Linked DNA regions of Kluyveromyces lactis. The protein of the gene in region 1 interacts with the protein of each later gene in a pairwise test. Links are inferred from orthologs where the notes say so. Each region holds a gene or a part of one and is shown on either strand. Other genes may lie near its edges.

Region 1 (5,229 bases):
CAGCAGTTTCTCTATCAATCTCCTCAAATACTAGTCAAAAACACTGATATATAGTATCTTTTTTTTATCTCTCAAAATTTGACCTTTAAAAGTTCTGTTGAAATTTTTAAACCTAGTAAGTAATGTCTCTGTAAAATTTCAGTACACATCAAATCAAATACAAGTACAGTGAGTAAAGTTGGGAAGGAGAAGTATTCGTAGCAGATTCTTTCAGAAAATAGCGTCAAATGGTACAACACAAGTAATATGGATACCGAGTTATTCCTGTATACCAGCCGTTAATTCTTAAACCTTATGAGTAACGAAGGCAATTGAGGAATACTTACAGTACTTCTCTTTTCAATTTTTTTTTTCCTATAATTTTTTCCAAAAGAAAAAAAGGTATTAAGACAACAAAGAAGAAGTTCGGTATGTAGTAGCTTGATTATCTTAGGTCTAATTAGGAAAGTGGAAAAAAGCAGTTTTGAAACGCTGAAAGCTATCTATGTTTAATGGTATAGCGGGATGTAGAGCTCAATCAGGGTAGGAAATAAGTCTTTCAGCTCCGATTATTGCAGATCTATATATATATATATATATATATATATATATATGTATTCTGTTTGATAAGAATGTTTGATATGTCCGTATATGTATGTGAACAGCTGTTTGCGGGTAATGATTTTAAAGCCTTCAAGACTCTTCCATTCGTACAGGAATTTCAAGTGTTGTGCAGTGTCTTCTCCGCCAATGTGCACCGGAAATTAGAAAAAGAAATTTCATTTCGACATGCTTCGAGAGGCACCTCGTCAAGCTGCGTTCTTCTGTCTTATTCGGATGGTAAGGGTAGGACGACACATACATCATTATACTCTGTACTAACAGCGTTGGGCAAGGTGCGGAGACGTACACACGCCATTGTAAGAGGAATTGTTACACGATTCAGGAGAGAGGGGAGGTGGTCTAAGCCGGTTTTCGTTCAGTAGTCATCAGGGTTCCCAACTGATAAATATTTGTTGCTTCCATTTCCCAGATGAATATAGAGTTTTACCCAACTGGCAACTATGCAGTTAACTTGCTAATCGATAAACCAAAAGATACTTTACATTATATTTGATTGTTTACAGGTGTACATACTTCTGATAAAAGAACTAGTGAAAATTAGTAGTGACCCACTTATTTCACGAGTTCGACGTTGACTTTGGTAGTGTCACCTTTGTTAACGACGACGTTACCTTCTTCGTCGACGCCCAAATTGTTGACTTGTTTGAACAATTCCTCTTGTTCAGCAGCGGTCAACTCTTCGTTCTGCTTACGTTTTAAATAGTAGCTTGGCTTCAATTGTCTCAGTTTTAGATTCTTACAGAATGGTAAATGGCCATTTCTTTCTTCGTACATCATTAGTCCGATAACAATCATTAAGACCAACCAGTACAAGTTGTAAGCAAGGATGGATGACAAATAACCAGTGTTTTGCCAGCCCAACAACGAGTTGAAGATATCCCAACCGTTGTCCAATTCCGGGTTACAACAGTTAACGTGGTACACGGTTCTTAAGATGTTATAGGACCCGTTACCATCACCGGATTCGGATGCGTCACCACCGGTCTTCTTGTTGAAGTAATAGTTATCGAAGTACCACACACCTCTGGAGAACAACCCGGAAGCAATCAAGTAAAGAACACAAGTAGAAATGACCAAGAAGATTTGTAGAGATGACTTAGAAGTACCGTAGTACAACAAAGTACCTACGATGATACCAGCAATTAACCCAATGACGACAGGCAATGGGTACGCAGTGGCCTTGGAATCCTTGGTGGTAATACCGGCACCAGCAACGAACACGACGGCTTCCAAACCTTCTCTCAAAACAGTGATAAATGGCAACAAAAACATAGAATATCTGGTAGCCCAGTATTTAAGACTCCATTTCTTACGTCTGTCCTTTGGAACTTCAAGCATGGCCTTGGCAATCTTAACTCTCCATTTGGCTTGCATCTTGTTGACTCTTAACATAGCAATACCCATGACAGAAATCATTAAGGTAGCGATGATACAGAAGACACCTTCCCATAAATCTTCAGCAGAACCGAAAATATCATTTTCGTAACGGTAGTAAGCACCAATGAAACCACCACCAATGGCCATACAAATGATGAAACCAGCAACAACACCGATCCAGACATGCATTCTCAACCTTTTATAAGTGGCCATATCATTAGAACCGATGGATTGTTTCAAGAAAGAAAGCAACACGGAAACAATCACCGCTGCTTCTAAACATTCTCTGAACACAACGAAGAACACAGCAACGTTGAAAACCTTGTTAGCAGCCATGACTGATTGGTTGTAGTTTGTTCAGAATTTACGGATGTTATAGTTGTATTCTGATAAAATCAAATTACAACACATATCAAAAAGCATCAAAAATATGTTCATAACATAACCTTCCACATCGCATGCGATGGAATATTAACACCTGAGGAGACAAACAAAAACATCAACATGGGGTCCAGTTTCGCATACTTATATATTCTGAACCATTCAATATCGAATGAAGGTGACAGAAACCTTCCCTGAAAAATATGATTTATGCACCCAAAACTTTATCATCTTCCAATATTACACCTTGGTACATGCACCCTTCCCCTGCTCTTGAGGTCTTGGCTTTTTCGGTGTTTTTTTTTTGTCAATTCCAATTCCACATACAAAACTGTAAATGTCGAGGATAGAACCGCAAGCAGCATTGCAATTGGTGGTTTTTAGCATTTTCAGCTAGCAAAATTCCTACACCGCTACAAATCGAGATGTTACTCAAATAACAGGCTATCAAAGTACAGGGCTATGTGTGGACTAGATAATACGTTTTAGGTTCAATATTTTAGACTTTGCCCAAATAATACCCATACGGCCAGTAAACTGACAGTACCAAGAAATCCGTAGTGGGAAAAACTATGAAGGGAAAAAATTGGGTAAAGAATGGAATAGATGTCTAGGCAAAAAAACACAAAAAATGGTATAAGTTTCCACTTAGAAAGGATAGTTGAAATTGGAAAGGTATAACGGATTGGATTAATTTGGCTTCAACAGTGTTTCCATTACTGAAGCGGAAGACGAAAAAAAAAGCAATGGTATGGTACTGATTATTAAAGGGAATGGAGAGAGGAAGAGATATACCCATCCTGCGTCAAATACAGTCTTGGTTATGAAATCAGGTGTAAGAGTTCTAGTTGAGGAAAAGTATGGCAGGAAAATTAAATCCTATCTGAAAGCGTAGTATAGGGTGTATATGTTACAATCTAAATTGATGTGATTTTCATTTCCTTTCTTTCCCATTTCTCCTGAGAATAAGCGCATAAGGCTTCTTCACTGCATGGATTTCTGTATATGATGTTACTTCCGAAGTACTGACTTGACCTCTTGGCATTTTCCGTTGGCCAATAACCAATTTTTGCCATGAAAAAAACTTTGGAAAAAAGTATGAGTGTGATAGAATAAATTACAATCTAGCTTTGAGGTACGTTATTACTACAGATAGATAGATGGTACCGCTTCATATCATCTGCATACCCAGTAAAAAAGTAACGAGAATAGCTAGGGCTCATACAATCTCATTCAATATTCCGAAACCCACAAATTTCTTTTGATTAGGCTCGTTCTAGCTCTTTCCCGATTGACATTTTCCCACTTGCCCCATAACACTCTGTGTATATCTTGTTAATGGTGTCATTATAGTTCCTCATTAACTTTCCTCATATCCCATCCCCTACCCTTTGCCTAGTTTCATATTCTTTTCTTGTCCTGCCTTAGCATTTCTTAGTTTTTTTTTTTTTTTCTTTCTTTCTACTGCTTTACTTGATTTACGGGTGCGCTCTTAGAAGTGTTCTGTAAAGTTTACAAAGGTCTAGAAGCTGCTGTAAGTCCGTCACAGACTCTAGGTATTGATTGAATTGGGAATCTTCCGCTTTGTATAGCTGATTTTCTATAAGATCTCGGGACCGTGATAGTACGGTCACGTGGTAACTGTAGATTTCATTTCGTAACATTGTCACGCATATTTCCAATCCTTCGTCGTGGTGTCGTAGAGCTTGAAGTGCTACAGCATTGCGCCTTTGTTGGTTCTTTAAGATTTCTTTCAACTGTTCGTTTTGTTTGGTCACGTGATGTAACATGTTGTCCTCTTCATTCCCATCTTCTTCTTCTTCATCCTGAATTGAGAGTTCCTCGTCTTTCAACCTTTTGTATATAAATTGCTTTGTGACATTGATGTCCGGTGATACGTCCACATTGCCATGGTTCAACTGCCTGGATAGAAGGTCCACATCCTGCAAAACAGCATCTCTCATATTTTCGTTCGTTTTCAATTGGGCGGAAAGTTCATGCACTAGTTCATACATGTAATCTAAATTTTCAGTTTGTGCTCCCATGAACAATACAGGCTGATTTTCAGCGTCTTTGCCGCTTTCCATGATTATTGTTGGTTTGCTATTGAGATATGCGGTTGGTTACTGTACAAACTGAGAGAATTATCTTAACAGATATCGAGGAATAGCCGTGTATTTGCCTCTGTTCTTTTACATTTTCCTTATTTTATTGTTCTTGATTACTGCTATTAGACATTATTGTATGCAGAAACAGAAGTCGAGAGAATAAAGAAAATGGAATGCTATCCATATTGATCACGTGACCTCTGAATCGTTTTATACGCGTTGCATCTTGAAACGATTCAGAGGACGCTCGGCGGCTAAATTGATAATAAAATAAAAAGTGCTCCTTATTTCTTAAAGTTCGTTAGTTGTTACTTCTCATTAATATTTATGAGTAAAACTATATCGATGTGTATGTCAATACACAGAGTTCTAAACAGGTTATTGTTGCTAGGAAACTCGTTCACATAATGGCAGAGGTGGGAGTCAGAATAGCCCAAGATCAGAACATTGCAACAGTGTGGTTGTTATCCAGTTTGGGAGCGTCCCACTCAGTGAATGTGAAGAAAAGAGAGATAGTCAAAGTTTCCATTCCTCATGCTTGCCAAATATTAGCATCTGGGCAAGTATCGATGCCTTTACGCCATACTGGACAGTTGTTATACGGTGTCACAGTGTGCTATGAACGGAAGACTGGATTCATTTTAGCAGATGTTACCAGCTTGAGAGACGCATTGCAAAGACAATGGATAGGTTTGAAACCTCTGGGGAAAAGTACTGGTGGTTCCGGTGGTCATAACAAAACAAAAATGGTACAGAACCA
Region 2 (4,788 bases), on another chromosome or scaffold:
TTTAGAGATTTTTTGGGTTTCTTTGAGTATTATACTACCCAATTGAGAATTTTCTCGTTTTGTATCCGGATGTGTGGGTTTTTATTTTTCAGTGTTTGGAGTGTATGGGTGTTATTTTAACAATGGACAGTCCTTTGTTAATCACGTGATTTGAATTCTTTAATCCTACTATTGGTTCAGGTCACAAGAATACATCACAGGACTAGACATGCCAGCATCATGAATAAGATATCCATTCATTTACTAGATAACCGGTGGGGCATGATTATGTGTATATATATATATATATATATATATATATACTATGTTTGAAGGGTTCTACAACACATCCTCCATTTCCACGTCTTCCAAGTCTTCCTCCTCTTGCTCGTTCTCCTGTTGTTGTTGTTGATCAAATTGGTCTTGAATCTGCTGCTGTTGTTCTGGATCAGCGTGTTGTGCCAATTCACCAAGCGTAGCAGCTCTTTCAGCTTCCTTCAACTTTTTATATTCCGATTTTAAAGTATATTTCAAGGCATACGGACCCTTTTTCACAAGCATAGCAACTTGATCTAGCGATTCCTTTAAATATGCTTCTGGTTGTCTTGTTCTCTCCTTCAAACCTTTCAAGGACCAATAATCGTATTCATCAAACAACTTGAACAATAGATCCAAAAGTTCCTTCTTTGGCAAACGGATAGCCCTTGCGTTGTTCTTCTTTTCCTTTCCAACTTTTAAGAACTTGGAAGTGTCGGATCTCATCGACATACCGGCGTTACTCATAGTGACACCAGGAGTTTGGTCAAGCACCGTAACCGTTGGTTTGTGGATGTTTCTAACGATTTGTCTTCTATGTTCCACAATTGTATGGTAATTTGGATCGTCTATCGAGGGCATCACTTGACATTCGTGGTACACTTTCCCCGTCACTGCAGTTTTCTTCGGAATAGTCTTCACGTACGGGATGTATCTATCTCTACCGTCCCTATCCGTCATGACACGGTGCTGAAACCTTCTCTTGTTGTACTTACGCTTCATCTGCTGCTGTTTTTTCTTCATCTCTTCCTCTCTTTCTTGTTTCCTTATGTATGCCTGTCTTTGCAACTCGGGGTTCGACTCCAATTCCTTGGCAAACTGCTGATATTTCTTCAAATTTTGTTCAGTGAATACGTACTCGTTCGTGACTTCTTTCTTGGTCAACTCTAAGTCATATTTGTGCGGTATGTCCTTGTTGTCCTCATCCTCATTCAACAACAACTGGATCGAATGGTCCGCATTATTAATCCTAACTTTACCCAATTCTTGTCCATGCAATGCAGTACGGTTTCTCCAATTTTCAGCTAAGAACTTAGGCAGACGTACAAGCCAAATCTTCTTCCTGGCGTTGGATAGATCCAAGTCTAACGATTCCTCATAAACCTTTTTCTCATTGTTCTCAATATCGTTACCATCGAACGCCTCTTCACCGACTTCTTCCACCAAATCTTTACCACTGGATTCAGACATGATTAGATTTTTAACTATTGGCTTGGATATATGAGACCTAACAGGTACCTCTATCCGGATTCTCTGCTTGCTTTTGTCTTCCTTCCGCCTTCCTGTTGTGGCTTTAAGTTGTTAAAGTTGTTTCAATTATCAATTCGATAAATCTTTAAAACTGACAAAAACAGCTAGCCATCAACGATAAAATAAACAGAAACTAACCAAGTGGATTGGCACCTCTGCCTACGGTGTATTTACGTTCATCAAAGCAGGCGTCATGAGTCATGCAGTCGAGGAAAGGTACAACAGTCAACAGAAACCGTTGAACGAGAGCTGCAATGAGTATATACACGAGATACTTAAAGAATGGGAAACCCAAGAATCTGAATATACTGTCGTGCCTTTGAAACGGGTTAAGGTGGCATTGTTCCCACTTCTAGTGGCATTAAGGAAACAGGAGCTCGGTCAATTGCAATTATCCCAACTGGCAAGAGTATTAGATGCCATTGTAGATGAAGATTACGTGCGAGCAAAGCAAGAATACCTTACTTTAAGTATAGGTAAAGGGAAGTTTCCGATCGGGTTAACCAACGTTGGTATACACGAGAGGAAACAGCAGTTGCAAGGCAGCAAGGCACAAACACAAGAGAACATGGTTCTTGATGACTGGTGCGTCAACATCAAACGGCTTGTCAATTTCAAGCAATGGACATCTTCACAGCGAAGAACCGCATGATTTTAAATATAGAATTAATTTCAAACCACTCTGATGGCTACATGTTACATAACCTCGGAACTGGAACAGAAACAAAAAAAGGAAGCGGTAAAGGGCAATCAAGCGACGAGAAGATGGGTGGTGTAGTCACTAGTATGGCTGAGTCTAGTGCTCAGGACTATGGTATGGAAAAGTATGATGATTTCATGGGATCAAAGTTTCAACCGGTGAAGGATCCATTCTATTCGGAACTAAGTAATGGGAAAAGGGTTCGAAGGAAGTTGCCTGCATATTGCACGAAACAGGAAACCAAGACATGGAAACGGTTACAGAACCGAGCATGGTACGACGACCGATGCTTCCTCGGGTGTGGATGTATCTGGATTGATTGGGGCATCGGTTGGGCCACGGTACTTTCGTTGCTTCCTGTGATCGGACCGATCTTAATGTACTGGGTACACAGCTCTACGGTGGAATACGCAAGGAAACGGTACAATTTGCCCAACGATCTGTTGGTGAAGATGCATGCAAACATAGTGTTTGATCTATTAATAACGTTACCCCCGATAATTGGCACGTTTTTGACCTGGATGAACGCATGTTCTACTAGAAATGTCGCAATGGTGTACAATTACGTATGTAAGGATTCGTGGCAGAGGTATCTACAGCAGAACCCAACACAAAGTGCACCGGTTGGGTTCCAACCGATGCCAATGGCTGCGAACCCACAAGTCCCAGCCCAAGCAGTCCACCATCAGGTATAAAAACCTTTGTGCTTGGGACAATCCGTTTAACAGTGTGTATTTCTATATAAAAGAAAATGATAACGCATATGAAATTGAAGACAACTACAGGCAAACCTCATATAAGGTAAAGAGTTAAAGCCATTGCTCCCCGCTAAACCTCAAGCCATGGTTGAATTGTATGAAAATAGGGTATGGATCGATGGGTGTTTTGATTTCACACACCACGGTCATTCTGGAGCCATTCTTCAGGCAAGAAGAACGATTCCAAAAGATCAACGTGATGGATCACTTCTCATCTGCGGAGTTCACAACGACGCAGATATCGAACATCACAAGGGTGGTAAGCCTGTCATTCACGAACAAGAACGGTATTACCATACAGAGAGCAACAAATGGTGCGACCAAGTGGTGAAAGACGCACCTTACGTGACAGAACCCGAGGTTCTTGATTCGTACGGTTGTAAATACGTTGTTCATGGGGACGATATAACCACGGATGCAAACGGTGAAGATTGTTACCAGCAGATGAAGGACAACGGCCGTTTCAAAGTGGTGAAACGTACCGAGGGTGTAAGTACCACCGAGATCATTGATAGAATACTGAGGAATGTCCCCCAGACAAACCAGCAAAAAGCAAGTGTCGATCGTGAGTTGCTGACCATGTACAGTACAGATAAGTCAGGATACGAGCCCTGGAGTTGGGTATTTGGCCAAAATTTCGAGGATGTGATAGTAGAAGGAACTGGCAGTGTCTCTGATCAGAATTGGGTTGTAGTAGAGGAACCAGATGGGTTTGATCTGTTCAATGTGGGACATATCCAAGAGTTACAGAAATGGAAAGAAGCAGGCAAAAGAGTGTGCTGCAGCATGTATACCGACAAAGACGTGTTCATGACATTGGAGGAGAGGACTTTAAGCGTGCTTAGCTGCAACGTGGTGGACGGTGTGCTTCTTTATCCTGTGTCACGTGACACAACGACTGCCAAAACTATCACCACATCTCTCAAAGACAACATCATACAAAGAATTAATCACGATAGGGATCATTATATTGAAAGAAATATAAAAAAGGGCATTACGTATGAGAACTAGCATATATAGGAAGAACGAATGAACAAAAGGCAGCAGCAGGCAACTTCCAGAGTCGCCTTGTCTCATCAGTCGTAACAACCCAAAACCAGCTTCTCAAATCATCTAAAAACATGAAAAAAGTCTATCAATTACACGGCACCACCGAGTAAATGGAGACGAGAGTGATCATAACATAACTCTCTACCGTTTCTGAGAGTTAGAACCTCTGCGTTGTTTGTTGAAAGCAGGTTTAATCTCACCCATATCGATCAAATCTTCTATCTCGTCCCCTGCTTTACCCCAATTACCTTTACCATAACCGTCTTTCTTCACAGAGTTTGGGGAAACACCGTAGTGCCCATTATGAGTGAAATAGTGGGATTCAGCCTTAGCTTCGCGAACGGTCCATTTGTTAGTTCTAGCCATTTTTAAATTGTGTGTGTGGGTGTGTTTTTGCGTAAGTTTGTGTCTTGTATCTGTTTTTGTACCTTAGTACTTGTTGATTGATGTGTATATAGATCACAATTGAAATATAATTTAATATACAGGAATGAGTTATAGAGTACAGAGAGGAAAGGGACAATTGGTCGAGCAGTGTCTCCTATTTATACTGTTAATGCGGGGGTGTCGTTCTGGAAAAAGTGCCGCTGAGGCTGATTTATTATGGCTGGCTAACCCCTGAAGTTGTCATGGTATTTTCAGGGGGGCGGGGGAGACAATAGTAAACGAAATCATTGGGAGATCCACTGGAACATCCTGGGAAATTCTGAGAAAATTGAGAAAATTTTGCACAGA
Region 3 (5,786 bases), on another chromosome or scaffold:
TGAAAAAGCTGTTAAGAATAAGTTAAGAATAAGTTGAGAACGATGTAAACTAGCCCTTTAAACTTAACGAACTATAAAAGACAATCTTCAGTGCTTGAACTCATGAATATACAATAACAAATGCTATAAACCTATTCACCTGTAGAAGAAAAATATCTTTTCATATCCAATTCTCCTTGGCCGCTACTTCACAGATTTTTTCCAAAGTAGCTACTCGAGGATCAGGCTTTCTAGGCTCTTTGTCTAGTCCATCCTCAGGATCAATGACTTCGATATCAAGACTACTTGACTCATCCGGCAAATCCTCTATATAGTAAAAGAACGGTTCAAGAACAAACATTATTTTCCAAAAGTCAACTGAACCGCAGTTTGCGAACAGCACATCGATCAAACTAGGTAGATAAACCAGCTCAATATACTCTTCCGCACAGCATACAAACTGATCCAATTGGTAATCCTGTTCCTCTACACTCAAAGTAGAGTACATCTCCGATAATAAAGTCAATTCTTTGCTTATGGTTTTTGGAATATCTTGTCTTGCCTTCCAAAGAAGCTTCTGAGCATTAGCTAATTTGACTTCCACATTATCATTATCTGAGCTCGATTTACTATCGAGCATAAAGCCGGAATTCTCACTCTTTTCTATCAAGTCGTTGTATTCATTGTACAAAGAAATAATTTTCATCATAGGTTTGTACAACTGTTGACATACTTTTCTCTCTGATTTCGGTATGATAACCCTTTCCAGATAATGATTAATCAAGCCTTCCATGAAATTAGCCCATATAGAACTGTAGACGTAGTTTTCGTCATAAAGTGTCTCATCAAAATTCTTCTTGATATTCTCTCTCATCACATTTTCTAACAAAGTACAGAACAATTTTGGTTCTTTCTTGATATTTTTTGGCTCCACTTCTTCCTCATAATCCGAGCTATTCGGCTTACCATGTTTGTCCAACCAATAGTCTGGGCCGCCTCGTTGTGAGAGTGTTACTAGCAATAGAAATAGTTTTAATTTATCCATTGGCCTGATCAATTTTAGTACTACATTATCAGAAATCTTCGAAACATCATGATTGATCTTTCTGTGAATGCATGATATGAATGAGTGTATGATACGTGCTGTCCTCTGGCCATAATTGGTGCTTAAATACTCCATGGATGTTACAGTTTTATAATTTGTGTCTTGGAACCTCAAATCTCTAGTAAATTGAAACTTGTATCGCACTTGTTTGCGCGGCTTGCGAGTTGCGTGTGGCACACGAGCTTCTGCGGACATTATCACTATATCCTGTACGTTGTCGAGTTTCTGTAACTTGCTAAGGGTAAGGCCAGCCACTTGTCACCTTTACAAATTCCTTCAGTGAATGTTGATGTCTTCCAAGTTTTCAACACACTTTTGCAGTATCAAAAAGTGAAATTTCAATAGTTTTGTAAAGGAAAAAACAAGATAAACCAATAATGACAAACCCACCGTTAGCATGTATGACAATACTGAAATTTTATACTGAAATATCCAAAAAGAGTTTATTGGATAGAAGATAAATCGTTTCAGGTTAATCAATGAACTACAGTTTTGTCTTAACAGTAATGTGAAATTTCATACACGGCAAGTTATTGTCAACGTGAGTGCACACTAAAACGGCTAAAAAGACGTAAAATAAAAAATACATTACAAAATAATCTACTAAAGATATAGGCTGAACTGCAGTTCAATGGCAAAGTTCTGAATTAATGATAGATCTATGGAATTTCCTTGTTTATTATATTTATAGGAAAAGTATAGGCACTGATCGAATGAATTGGGGGTTTGGAAGGATAATATTAGTTCATTAAACGACATGAGGTTTACTCAATGTTTTTAGATGTTCTGGAAGAATCTTCATCCGAGTTGATATCAGAAACGTCGACCTTTTCGACGGCATCTGGATCCATACCTAAGTCTCTGATTATTTCTTCTTCTGACTTCTTAACACCCATCAAACCGTAGGTTGATAGGGAAATTAAACCAAGAACACCTGCTAGACAGGAAAAGGTCATAGCAACAATACCCTTAGCAGTGAAACCATCTGGAATGTTAGCCACTTGAACGTTTTGACCGACTAGATCCAAGAAATCGTTAGTGTTTCCTGCAGCGTTACCTTCCCAAGAAAGACCGACATTTTCGCAGACTTGCTTGTGGTTATCAGTCAATTGTTGGGATTCAGTGTTTTGCATTTCTTCTGGTGCTTCAATCAACAACAATGCAAGACCTTGCTTCAAATGCCATTCAATGTGACAATGGAAGAACCAAACACCTGGATTGTCGGCTTTGAAACGCAAGACTATACTGGATTGTGGATTCACGTAAACGGTATCTCTCATCATTGGGTAATCTGGGAAAGGATTGTGGTCTTCTGGATCGAATGGATGAGGTCCTTCACCAATTGCATCATCGTAACCACGTTCTCTGTCAACCAATTGGAAAATGTGACCGTGTAAATGGAAAGGATGCTTACCAGTATCGTTGTTATTCAAGACAATTTCAATAATTTCATCCTTTTTCAAGACGAAAGCATTTGTGTTGGTACCATAAACCAATGGATTTAGTGCATCTTTACCAGCCGACAAAGCAGTCATCAATGTTGGGACCTTTGGAGCAGTGAAAGTCAAATTATTGAAGAAAGCGTAATTGACACCATTTTTCAAGTTATCCATGACCACATCAACGGTAATAGTATAATCAGGGTCTTCATACAATTCGACTTTATCCAATGGGGTCAAATAGAAATCATCCAAGAAATCATCTATGCTGTCTACATAGCTTTGTTCAGGCTTTTCTCCATCCTTGTCGTACATCATGTAAGAAGTAGCGTTCAACATCAAATCGTTAGGAATAACGTCTAACATGGTATCATCAAACTTCTGCATGATAGCATAGTTTTTAGAAGTGTCATTCTTAGTGTGAATCAAAACGGAGTAACGTTGTGCCACAGTGATGTAAAGCATAGAAGTTGTGTTTTTTTCAACGTAAACACCATCAACTTCAACGACAGTCATATCATGGTCCTCAATCCAAAAGTATTGTGAGACGAATCCACCAGTATTGACAATTCTCAAGAGATATGTAGTATCTGGTTCGACATTCCAGGTCATGTTTCTAGTGTTGTTAATGATCAAATTCTGAGGAATTGGTTCGGCACCAGTTGGGTTGTAAACGTTCATGAATTTGCGGTCAAGGGTATCGACATTGTCATAATACCATTCGGCAAGTTGCACAACGACTTCTTCGTCATAATCAAATGGCAAAGAATCCTCAGGCTCAACAACAAGAGTACCCTTCATACCGTCCTGGTATTGACCACCAGTGTGGGAATGGTACCAGTAAGTACCGTCGTTATCATCGATGGTGAAATTGTACAACATGGTGTCACCAGGAGCAATAGGACACTGGGTAATCATTTCTGGCCCATCCATCATGTTAGTTCCGTTCTGGGACAAACCATGGAAATGTAGGGATGTGTTTCTATCATCGAATCCATTTGTCAAATACACTTGAATACGGTCACCTCTCTTGACCTTTAGGTCAGGCCATGGAAATTCACCATTACAAGTGATAACTGGTCTCTCGAAATTACCATCGACGTTATAGTTACCCCAACCAGTGGTCCAGTTGAAGGTATGAGTGGCAGCTTGAGCAACAGTAGCCCAACTCCACAAAGCCACTAGCAACGATGGCAGGAAGTGATGAGTCGATACCTTCATGTCTTTATACTTCCTTTTTTCTTCTTTTTGTTCTTAAAGAAAACCAATGAGACTTAAAGATATGCGATGAGATGGTTAACGCAGATATTGCAAATAAGAAAGAACCCTGAAGACAGATAACAAAAATCTCAACTGAGCAATATACACCTCGTGCAGAGGCCTAATGACAACATTGAGAACATTTTACTGAAATTACCATTGTATATATACATTAATATACACATTCTCACACGATAGAACCAACCAGTGATAAAAGAAAGAAAAAAATCCATCTCAAACCTCTGTACAAAAGCCCACTACCGACCGCGCCGAACCTACTGCAATATGAAGAAACGAGATATCACCCTCATGCACACTACAATACCCTCTGCCTCTACTTCTTTGTGTTTTTCCTCCCTCCCGAACTAAACCAGTCTCTCTAAACTGTCAAATGGTTATGCCTGGTATTGAAAAGCACACCTGCAAATAGATAGTAATATGGAATTAAAAAAAAAAAATCTTGAGGAAACTAGAACCAAAATACCTAGGTAGTGCCACAATACTAAGTCAAAAATTAAACAATTCGGGGTGTACAATTCAAGATAATAACCTAATTAGCGGAAGTAAAAACTGCGTAAAGAAAGAGCAAGGTAATAATACACTTACTACGAGGACTTAAAGGGGAAAAACAACTGATAAACATGGAAAGAGTTAGTCGACCAAACAGAACGTCCGCTTTCCTGCTTTCCTTTCTGAGCCAAGAAACTGCCATTCCTATTTTTTTTTCTTATGTACTTGTTTCACTACGCTTTTATGAGAATTAAACAAAGATGAAGAAGGAAAAAAAAAAAAAAAAGGTCAACTGTAGCTTGCCTAGTGGTAGCTGTGAGTGTTGAAATTGGAATTGGAATTATGATTGTATTGAAATGGGAAAAAATTGAGATGGTGGGAGAGTAAACATCAGGGCCCAACTGTTTGAATGGGAAAAAGAAAAAAAAGAAAAAAACGGAAGTGCTCTACTTCTTGATAATAAGTTTCCAGGGTTTTTTGTAATGGTAGTTGCTACACCCACCCCCGCCGGGGTTTTCGAGCGATAAAGTTTCAGCCAATTCTTTCCTGCCAGTTTACATTCTTTTTCTTCATTTTATTTTTTCCTTCCTTCTATAATTTCTTATTCAGTTCAATGGAATCGGAAAAAAATATACAGGCTCGAATGAGAAAGGTTTTTGGGCCCAGGCCCAAAAATCAAGGCCCCGAATAGTCTCCATACATTGCCAAGAAAGTTTTTCAGTTTTTAGCTTTTCTAAATAACTACAAGATAAGGCGCAGTATATTGAGAATTGGATTTTTTTCATCAATGCTAATAGCGGATCACTTCTCCACCGTTCTTGTTCCGTAGGTGGAGGAGAGCCTTTAGGGTGAGAAGCGGATGAGGAAAGGGTATCCGTAACGGCCCCATGTCACTGAACGTGCCAGAAGCCCTTTGTGAGCGAGCACCAAGATTTGTCAGTTTTGAATCTTGGCAAACGAGTAAATCATGCTCGATTCCGGGCCTTTTGCGTTGTCATTCTTCTTGAGTAGGTAATCGGTACACATAGAAGTGTGCTATATCTAATCTATCAACGATGCCAAGTTTATCTATGGCTGCACTTGGGCCGAACGCCCAGTACTGAACGTAGGATACTTGCCAATTTTCGCTTTTTCAATTTATTTTTTTATTTCATTACGAATGAGAAATACATTATTGCACCCAGGGAAATTTCATGGAATGGTCAGTTTTCTACTGTAGGTCGAAACTGCAACTCTCAAACTTGCTGTAATTACTCTATTTTCTATACTCTATATCGTAATGATGTTCCTATTTACCAGCGTTCTTTTTCTTTTTTGATAATTTTCATACAAACACTTTTTTTCCACCATTTTTGAATTGATATCGAGTTATGTACAATTTGAACGAGTCAGTCTAGGTGTTTAATCCAGAACCGTGAAAAAAACAGGGTGCCATTTTATGATTATGTGTATATATGCATGCGTATGTGAATCTTTTTGTCTCTAACACCGAT

Evidence for each region. The genes of interacting proteins can lie anywhere in the genome.
Region 2: the proteins of FTR1 (region 1) and KLLA0_C18161g interact in a protein complementation assay, tested with the Saccharomyces cerevisiae proteins (2 studies listed by BioGRID). The link is inferred for Kluyveromyces lactis from reciprocal best matches to the Saccharomyces cerevisiae genes FTR1 and YLR326W.
Region 3: the proteins of FTR1 (region 1) and FET3 interact in binary tests that used the Saccharomyces cerevisiae proteins (3 or more experiments, as listed by UniProt). The link is inferred for Kluyveromyces lactis from reciprocal best matches to the Saccharomyces cerevisiae genes FTR1 and FET3.

The regions. Positions count from the first base shown.
Region 1 is NC_006037.1:264,004-269,232, reverse strand, and holds FTR1 (high-affinity iron permease FTR1), read right to left. Parts: upstream 2,317-5,229; coding exon 1,156-2,316; downstream 1-1,155. Other genes in the region: FAR7 (Far7p), read right to left, coding at 3,840-4,448; REC8 (Rec8p), read left to right, coding at 4,877-5,229. UniProt on the Saccharomyces cerevisiae protein: Permease for high affinity iron uptake.
Region 2 is NC_006039.1:1,605,419-1,610,206, reverse strand, and holds KLLA0_C18161g (uncharacterized protein), read left to right. Parts: upstream 1-2,238; coding exon 2,239-2,940; downstream 2,941-4,788. Other genes in the region: transcription factor IIF subunit TFG2, read right to left, coding at 319-1,485; mRNA splicing protein PRP18, read left to right, coding at 1,739-2,197; ECT1 (ethanolamine-phosphate cytidylyltransferase), read left to right, coding at 3,088-4,014; KLLA0_C18117g (uncharacterized protein), read right to left, coding at 4,195-4,419.
Region 3 is NC_006042.1:2,441,782-2,447,567, forward strand, and holds FET3 (ferroxidase FET3), read right to left. Parts: upstream 3,745-5,786; coding exon 1,849-3,744; downstream 1-1,848. Other genes in the region: AAN1 (Aan1p), read right to left, coding at 161-1,279. UniProt on the Saccharomyces cerevisiae protein: Iron transport multicopper ferroxidase required for Fe(2+) ion high affinity uptake. Required to oxidize Fe(2+) to Fe(3+), which is then transported into the cell via the ferric iron permease FTR1. Essential component of copper-dependent iron transport.